Cricetulus griseus: one gene and its partner. The protein of the gene in region 1 interacts with the protein of each later gene in a biochemical or structural test. Links are inferred from orthologs where the notes say so. Each region holds a gene or a part of one and is shown on either strand. Other genes may lie near its edges.

Region 1 (5,515 bases):
ACCTATAGAGTGAAACTGTCTCATAAAAATAATAACAAAATATAGTTACATCTGAGCCTGATGGCATAGGCCTGGAATCCTAGTTACTGGGAAGACTGAGGAAGGTTGGAAGTTCAAGACTAGCCTAGGCTGCTGATGAGTTCATGGTCATACCCTAACAGTGTAATGAGACTATCTCAAAACAAAAGTAAAATCAGGGTTGGGGATATACTTCAGTAGCAGAGCCCTTGCAAGTATGTGTAATGCTCTGGGCTCAAGCCTCCGGCTGAAAGGTTATCAACCCATTAATTAAAATATATAGAGGCTAATAGTATATAGCTAAGCAACAGAACGCTTGCCTAGCATCAAAGTTGGGTACAATTCTCAGTACCACAAAAAATAGTTAAGTAACATAACTAATGCTTTGGAGCAACATCTGAGTTCTACTGGGTAGAAACATAAAGAGGAGAGAAGAACATTACTAGGAACTTTTTTTTTGAGACAGGATTTTGTTATATAGCCCAGGCGGGCCTCAAATTAACAATCCTACCTCCTGGAGTACTGCAATTATAGGTTTCTCACCTCACCTACTTCCAGTTTTTAAATTCAGCATTTGTACACAGCATGCCATCATTGCTAGCAGTTATAACGCCATGGAACCAAATGTACTGTCTACAGAACCCACTAATCTCAAGTCAGTCTTGCAACAAGGTTAGCCAATCTCTCAAGGTTAACCTCCTCCTCCTCCTACTTCCACCCCACCCCATGGACTAAGAAACACCTGAACATTTTACTCTTCTAAAAATTTACACCGCTAATAGAGAGGATGGGCTGTTAAAAGGATTAATGATGAACAAAGAATAAGGACTATGAAAACACTCCAACAAAACCATTCTCACACACTGCACAGACCACTGCTTATGTATGTGATTTGTGCATTCTCACCAGTTCAAGTTAAAATCTAGTCAAAGGGGCTATAGTAGCCTGAAGACATTCTAGGGGGACCTCATTATGTTGTCTTTGTTAACAGTCAACTCCCAGAGGCTGGGTCCTCAAGAAAATCAACAAACTCAAAGACAAGGCTAAGCCAGAAAAGGGCTATGTACAAAAACTAGAAATTTAGACGGGCATTGGTGGCGCTCGCCTTTAACCCCAGCACTCAGGAGGCAGAGGCAGGCGGATCTCTGTGAGTTCGAGACCAGCCTGGTCTACAAGAGCTAGTTCCAGGACAGCCTCCAAAGCCACAGAGAAACCCTGTCTCCAAAAACCAAAAAAACCCCAAAAAACTAGAAATTTGTTTGGCAAGTGAACTGACCAGATTCTCCCTAAATACGCACAATCTGCAAGGTGAAGAACAGCAAGAGAGTAATCAGGAACCCTGATTTTAGCCGAGAGTACACGGAGGACTTTTTTTTTCAGATAGAAAAGTAGTTTTAGTCTAACTAGACATATGACCTTCAAAATTTTTAACGCTCACCAGGAACGGTGGTACACATCCCAGCACTATTCAGAAGGCAGAAGCAGGACAGCTAGATCTACAAATCAAGTTCCAGCGCTCAAGTCAGACTCTGTGTCCATTTCTCTTAAGTAGTAGGCAGGGGTCTCTCCCACTGTTCTCTCTGCAGAGTGCTAATAAACCTTTCTCTTGAAAAAAGTCCCTGAACTCAGTCTCCACGCCTACAAATGGAGTCAGCCTATAAATCCTTTAAATCTTTTCCAGTCTATATGGGGGAAAGTTGGCAGATTTTCCTTCTCCAGGAGATTTCTGGGTAGCGGCATTGTAAGTTGAACACTTGACTTTTGACTCAGTTAGTTATAGGGCTGGAATAAAGCTCAGAGATATAGCACCTGCTCACTATGCCCCAAGCCCTGAGTTTAATTTCAAGCACCAAAGAGAAAAAAAAAATAAAATAGAAAACACAAGCTCTCTATATATTTTATGCCCCTAAGAAACACCTAAGTAGACAAATTCTCACAATAGTTCTGAGAGCCTTCAATAGTAAGACCTAGCCTTGTATTTTAAGTTAACAAGGATACTTGTGTTAAATGTTCCAGACAGTATCACTACCAAGATAACCATGTGGATGGTGAGAAACCATCCACACGGTACATTCACACTTGGACATGTGACACTTAATGGCTGAAAATTCTCACCACATACTACATTGAGTTTCCCATCCCTCCAGGTTTGCCAGAGGAATATAATCTGGTTATATATAACCTGCAAAACAACACTTATTTCAAAAGAATGTCAGAAGACAGAAAGAACCATATGAATAACCAACAGAGGTTAAAATTCTTAGTGAGGACTATTAGAAAATACAAGTAGAACCAATTGTGGGACAAAAAAAAAAAGATGCCAATTTCCCACTTTATGCTACTAAACAAATCAAAAAAACAAAAACAAACAAAAAATATTTGGGTGCAAAAAGTACAATTTCAAGAAAACGACCTGAAAAGGGAACCCATCTGTAAGTGATTCCTAATTAAAGCAGTAACTTTAAGTAGAAATGCATCTATATCGATGCAACCTCTCCAAATTATTTTTACAATGTTTTTTCAACTGGAAAATACCTTCCCCCCATACAGTCTTCACCGCTAAGATTTCAAAACAATCATTTACTTACACAATCTCTAAGAATACGGCATTGAAAACAGAAAATCCACCCAAAGCCTCACTGTCTTCACCCGGTATAAAACGGTGATTAATGATCCACATTCAATGTAAAAGGCAAAATGGAGTTGTAAAAGAGTTTCTTGCCTATTCCAACTCCCGACACCACGCGCGCTTCACAGTGGCAGACTCCCCCAGCGCGGTCGCGGGCCGGCCGGGAGCCCCCGCCCAGCCCGGCGCAGCCCTGAGAGGAAGCGACGGGGAGGGCGGGCGGCTAGGGCTCCACCAGGCCCGGCCGGGCGGGGGAAGGGGGACTGGAGGCGGCGGGGCGCGCTTCGGGGACTGCGCGGGGCGGGCGGGGCCGCCGCCTCGGGCGCGGGGCCCCGGTCAGGGGGGGCCAGGGCTGCCGGCCGAGAGCAGCAGGTGGGGCGCGCCCGCGACTGGGGGACGGCGGGTGCCGGAAAGTGCCGGGCGGGCGGGCGGCGGCGGCGGCCGGCCGGCCGGGCCCCCGGAGCCGAGGCGGCTGGAGGGAATGCTTCTGCTCACCTCAAGGCGACCACTCCAAGTCCGGCCTCTTCGCGCCGAGGACGCCTGTCCGCGAGTCCGCAAGCTCGGAGACGAGGACCGGCAGCTCCGCGGAAGACGGCGGACTCAGCAGAGAACCGACGGAGGACCGCGGGCGGCGGGCGGCGGGCGGGGAGCGCGAGCGAACGAGGGCGGGCGGTGGCGGGAGGGCGGGGAGCGACGTGCGCGCCCCCGAGCGCCCTGCGGGCTCGAGCTGGCGCCAGTCGCGGCCCCGCGCACGCGCGCACTCTCGCAGTTCGTCCACGATTGCTCAAGAGCGCAACCACGCCCTAAAAGCAAGACGCTTAACCAATCATTGCGGCCGCGTGGAGCATCACGGGAACTCCGGGGCTATAAAAGACCAAGTTGCTATTTTATACTCACCGATTCACTCATCCTTTAAGTAGCAGGGCGGGGATGGGTGCGCCTGCGCGGTTTTAAAGCCCTGCCCCAAACTGCCAACACTTCGCGCAAGCGAAGTAGATCGTCTTTGCCCGACATTACGCGTGCGCACCTACTTCTCTAACCCCGGAAGACCGTGCGCTTGCGCAGTGAGAACTACGGTGACAGTACACCCGGTGGGGCGCTGGCCAGTCATGGCGGAACCTTGGTCTGGGCAGTTTTTGCAAGCTCTGCCCGCGTCGGTGCTCGGAGCGCTGGGCACCCTGGGCAGCGAATTCCTGCGGGAGTGGGAGACACAAGACATGCGAGTGACTCTCTTCAAGCTGCTCCTGCTGTGGTTGGTGTTAAGTCTCCTGGGCATCCAGCTGGCGTGGGGGTTCTACGGGAACACAGTGACCGGGTTGTATCACCGTCCAGGTGAGGCTCCCTACGAACCTCCTTGGCCTGGCTGCCCCTACCACCACCAAGCTATACCACTTGTTTCTCCTGTGTCCGCGTAGACTGCCACTGGTCTCCCAGAAGCCTCGTTGCACCCAGACTTACACCCCCATACCATCTTACATCAGAATCCCCACCTGTCCATAATCACGTTGTAACGGTTTCTCAAAAACCCTTACCAGACAATACTACCAGTCCCTAGCATCCCAGCCCCAATCTCTTAAACTGTACCAGTGGCCCCTTACCTGAGCCTGCTCAGATCCCCACCCTCAGCCTCCTGCAGCTCTGGGTGTGTTCCTGCCTCCAGGTCTGGGTGGCCAGAATGGATCCACACCTGATGGCTCCACACATTTTCCTTCATGGTGAGTAAATCTCCGTCTATCCCAACCCCATGCTTGGCAGGCAGAGAACACTGAGTGCTGGTGACAGGGAAGAGAATTCGCAGGGCCACCACCTTAGTGGCCTCTGCAAGAACCCTCCAATTCTGCAGGTAGAGCTCAGGATTCGAGTTGGGCATTTAGCAGTGCCTCTTATCAGCATATGCAGTGGGGATGGATGGTGGTGGTACCGTAATTTTAGAAAGGTGAAGTGGTAGGTAGGTCTGTTGGAAACAAATCCCTTGATTGGGAAGTCCTTCATTAGGAAAGTGAGAGTATCTATTCTAGGCAAGTACTGTACCATTGGAACTATAACGCCAGCCTAACAGCCTCTATTCTTAGCACACTACCTCATCAAAAAAAAAAAAAAAAAAAAAAAAAAAAAACCAGCCTACTTATCAAGACACTTCATTCAGTCAGTCTCTGAGCTTCTACCAGATAGCAGAGCTCACAGCAGGCCCAGAAAACAAGGACAACCCAGACTCTGCTACAGGGGAAGCAAGAGATTTAGAAGGAAAATAAGTACAAATGCAAAGTTGCTCAGGAAAGCAGCCCCTCCCCCATGACACCTAAACTGAGACCAAAGAGAGGACGGCACAGTATACTGGATAAGAAAAAAAAAAAAAAAAGGATAAAAACAGACCCAGTAGCAGGGACAAATGTGACACACTAGGAGACTAGGAGAGGCTGTGATAGTGAACTTTGAACACAAGAGCATAGGGGGACCATGGAGCGATTGAAGGACTGATTCAGCAAGACAGTGACCTGATCTAATTTGCCTTTATAACTCTCTGCTTAATAGCAAGTATTCATGGATAAACTATTCTGCTATTCATGAAGTAACCTTGCTTCTCTCCATCACTTTCAGGGAAATGGCAGCAAATGAACCTCTCAAAACCCACAGAGAATAAGGGAAGGCAGCAGCAGAAGCGTCTCCAGAGACATAACTGGGACTGCTGGCTCCTAGGTTGCATCCTGCTGCTGCCCAGACCCGTTGGACAACTGCAGAGGGCTTGGGGTTGGGGGACTGGAGTACCACAGTGTTTCCAGGGTGAGCCTCCATTGCTTTCAGCCTTGCCTTCAACAGCTCCAGGTACTGGGCAGGTGAAGTCTGTCTCTACCCCAGTGTAGTTGCCCTAAG
Region 2 (3,657 bases), on another chromosome or scaffold:
ACTGCCTAGTCTCTTGGAATGCTCTCTCTTCTAATGAACCTTGAGTACCTGCCACTATTCCAGGGGTTGTTCTAAGCATCAGGAACATAGCAGTGATAACAAATGCTTGCCCTAAGCACGCTGGAAGCCCAGGGGGAGGACACAGATACACTTCCTAAAATATACATTCAGTTAGCTGATGACGTTTTATGCAGAAAGTTAGGAGGAAAAGGGATGAGAATGGCCATCCCCAGGAGTGCTTCATCTTTCAGGAGGGAGTTCAGGCAAGGCCTTGCTGGGAATGTGGTGTTTAGCCAAATGTGTAAGGAGGCAGATAGACAGAGAAAACACACTGAAGAGCAGCAGCAAGGAGTGTAAAGGTTTGGTCAGGAATTTGTCTCAGATGTCAGGACAAAATGATGAAGAAAAACAGGGAAATGAGGTAGGAGAAGTGGCATTTTGGGGCAGTCTTAGAAGGACATAATAAACACAGCTTGCCTTTCCTTCTTCCCAGTACTGAGGACTGAGCCCAGTGCTCTGGCATGCTGGACTAGTCCTGCATGTTTATTTACTTGTTTATTACTGAATTAATTATTTTAAGACAGGTCTCACTTGACCTTGCAGTCCTCTTACACAAGACTAGTTAGGTGGACTTACAGGTATACATGGCCACACCCTCCCCATAAGCTACATTCTAACCTTTTGTATCTTCCTATCTTCCTAATTGAAGGGGAAAAAAAAACCCAAAAACTTCTGGAAGCTGAGTTATCTATTCCTTGCCTTTGATCAATATTTCTTAGTACTTCCACAAAGTGACAAGTACCAGGCTAATATTAGCTAGGGGACATCAGACAGGAAAAGGTACAGCACTGCTCTGCAGCCATTGTTCTACCCTACACTACAACATTTTGTCCAACCAGAGGGAGTTTGACCAACTTTATCTGAGGCAGTTGTATTGAAATTTCATGAGCAATGGTGTCCAAAGAGAAATGATGCTTGGCTTGGGTCTGAAAACATAAGTTCATTAGCTGACAGGAAAAAGGGCACTCTGCTCAACATACTGTGTCTGGTGTAGAGTCTGGGGCAGTGTCTAACACAGGTTGGGTACTGGGACATTTTAAAATTTAACTAGTTAGCTGGTCAGTGGTGGCACATACCTTTAATCCTAGCATTTGGGAGGCAGAGGCGGGAGGATCTCTGAGTTCCAGGCCAGCCTGGTCTACAGAGCGAGTTCCAGGACAGCCAGGTTTACACACAGAAACCCTGTCTCGAAAAAAAAAAAACAAAATCAACAAAAAAAATTACCATGTTTCTTAACAAGGACCGGGGCTGAATCCCTGCACCAAAACCAAAGCAAAGCAAAACAACCTGGTTCTACTCTAACATCCTCAGTTCATAGGCAGAGAAACATCCCTGAAGTGAGACCTACCCAAGATACACAGCCAGAGCCCTAGAACTCTGGCCCTGGATGCCCACCAACATCTTGACCTTGCCTGACCTGCTGATCTGCTCTGTCCAGGGTCCTGGTCCTACCTCCCACCCCTCCCTGATCCCCTCTGACCTTGGTCTGCTTCTTCTCCGTGGCATAGACTATGGAGGTGCAGCACACTTCGGCGATTTTTCGGCCCTGCCCATAGAAAGACCAGCAGCAAATCTCATCTCCCAGGACATCCTTGAGGAAGAGCAGCCGCCCATGGAAGCGCAGGGCTAGTTTGTCAAACAGCTCGATGTTCTTCAGTAAGTTGTCATCTGAAGTGCTGAGGACCAGGGTCCAGCAGGCCTTAGGTGACTGACTGTCTTCCCTCCCTCAGCTCCCCCAAGAGGGCCCATATTTCCAGCACTCCAGTCCTGTCCAGCAGGGGACTTCCAACAGTGTAGGCCTCTCAGAAGGGAAGCATTTCTGAACAAATCGCTGCACAGCACAAATTGCTGCACAGCACAGAGGCACCCTCAACCAGGCTGTCACTAGGCACTCCAGCCCTGCTACATTTTAACTCAGCAACATGAAGCAGGTTATTTTACCCCTTGCTGCCACAATATCATCTCTAGATGGAAAGCAACACTTCCAGAGACCATTGGGAGAGTGGATAAGTCAACAGACACTAAGACCAATACTGCTAGGAAAAAAGGAGCTAGCCTATGCCAGCCATTACCACAGACTTGGCCTAAACTTCCTTTATGGTGGCAGGCGGCACAGCTGGAATGGGGCATTCAAAAGGCAGGCAGTCTATAGTCTCTTCATGTAGCTATACTCTTTTGAGAGACAGGAGCAGAACCCTGCTCAACCTTAGGATTCTACCCAGTGAACACGGTGGACACCCACATCCCCCAGTGTGTGAGCACATGCACACACGCCCATGCCCCCAGCGCTCACCTGGTATAGGAGTACTTGTTGTTACTGCGGTTATGCAGAAGTTTCACCACGGGCTGCAGGGGAAAGTTGAAGGAGGGTGGAGTCAAGAGACTGGGAGAGGACAGCAGCCTTCAACTCCAACCCCCCCCACACACACACACACAACCCACTGGGCTCCGGGGCCTCACCTTGGAGGTGCTGGCCAGAAGCTGCTGCTCTTCCCGGGGTGATGTCACTGTGGGGATGAGGCAGAGCGGGGACAGGTTCTCCCTTTTTTGCTGGGGAGGAAGTGGAAGATTAGCAGTACAACCGGTGTTCACGCACTGCACTATATAAAGGCGCTCTGAAGCTGCTTGGGGGTTGAAAACACACTCTTCAGTGTCCCTAAGACTCATAGGGATGTGACCACTCCAGTTTTAGCTCTGAAATTCCCCAAACTGTCTGGACTTTGGTACCCTCCCCACAACTCTACCCTTACCCTGCCAACCTGCTGCTCCTTAGACTCGAAACTGTGTCCTCCCAGACTCTGCACTGGTCAGCCTGCTTGAGCTATGTGCAAAGCTCACTAGACCCTTCAGTTCTCAGCTCAGCATGCTGACCCAAACAGCGCCAACCCTGTTCAGTGCCAGCCCCACTCCACTGCCTCGATACCATAGCTTCCTTGGGCTCAGATTATTGCCCCCTTTTCTTCACAGTACTTAATTCTACATTTGTTTTATATATGTAAGCTCTTCCTGAAGACTGTACAGGTGGCAGTCAGCATACATTTGCTGAATGAATAGCCCTGGATGAGTACAATGAGACTGTTTATTTTTTCAGTGCTGTATGCTGGAGCAGGACCATGAGTATTCTACCATCACTGACCCATATCCTTTACCCTTTTTAAAAATTGAGACAGCCTTGCTAAATTGCTCAGGCTGACCTTGAATTTGCAATCTCTTACCTCAGCCTGCCAATAGTGAAGCACACCTTCAATCCCAGCACTTGGGAGGCAGATTTAGGTAGATCTCTGTGAATGAGACCTGATCTACATAGTGAGAGCCTGTCTCAAAAACAAACAAAAAAACTAAACAATCTCCTGACTTAGCTTCCCAAACGTTGGAGTGTGCCAGACCACCTCTGTCTCTGAAGGTAAAATTCTGAGACAAATTACAGAAGTTATTTTTTGAGATTTTGTTTTGTTTTTGTTTTTCGAGACAGGGTTTCTCTGTGTAGCTTTGGAGGCTGTCCTGGAACTTGCCTTGAATTCATAAAAATCCGCCTGCCTCTGCCTCCCAAGTACTGAGATTAAAGGTGTGTGCTACCACGCCCAGCTAAGAGGTTTT

What was found. The genes of interacting proteins can lie anywhere in the genome.
Region 2: of the proteins of Rhoa (region 1) and Kctd13, one has a biochemical effect on the other in vitro, tested with the Homo sapiens proteins (2 studies listed by BioGRID, with this or other methods). The link is inferred for Cricetulus griseus from reciprocal best matches to the Homo sapiens genes RHOA and KCTD13.

Annotation. Positions count from the first base shown.
Region 1 is NC_048597.1:216,484,108-216,489,622, reverse strand, and holds the start of Rhoa (transforming protein RhoA), read right to left. Parts: upstream 3,282-5,515; 5' UTR 3,140-3,281; intron 2,745-3,139; exon of another isoform or gene 2,607-2,744; intron 1-2,606. Other genes in the region: Tcta (T-cell leukemia translocation-altered gene protein), read left to right, coding at 3,754-3,976, 5,243-5,505. UniProt on the Homo sapiens protein: Small GTPase which cycles between an active GTP-bound and an inactive GDP-bound state.
Region 2 is NC_048596.1:73,807,446-73,811,102, forward strand, and holds part of Kctd13 (BTB/POZ domain-containing adapter for CUL3-mediated RhoA degradation protein 1), read right to left. Parts: intron 2,611-3,657; coding exon 2,521-2,610; intron 2,407-2,520; coding exon 2,354-2,406; intron 1,737-2,353; coding exon 1,541-1,736; intron 1-1,540. UniProt on the Homo sapiens protein: Substrate-specific adapter of a BCR (BTB-CUL3-RBX1) E3 ubiquitin-protein ligase complex required for synaptic transmission.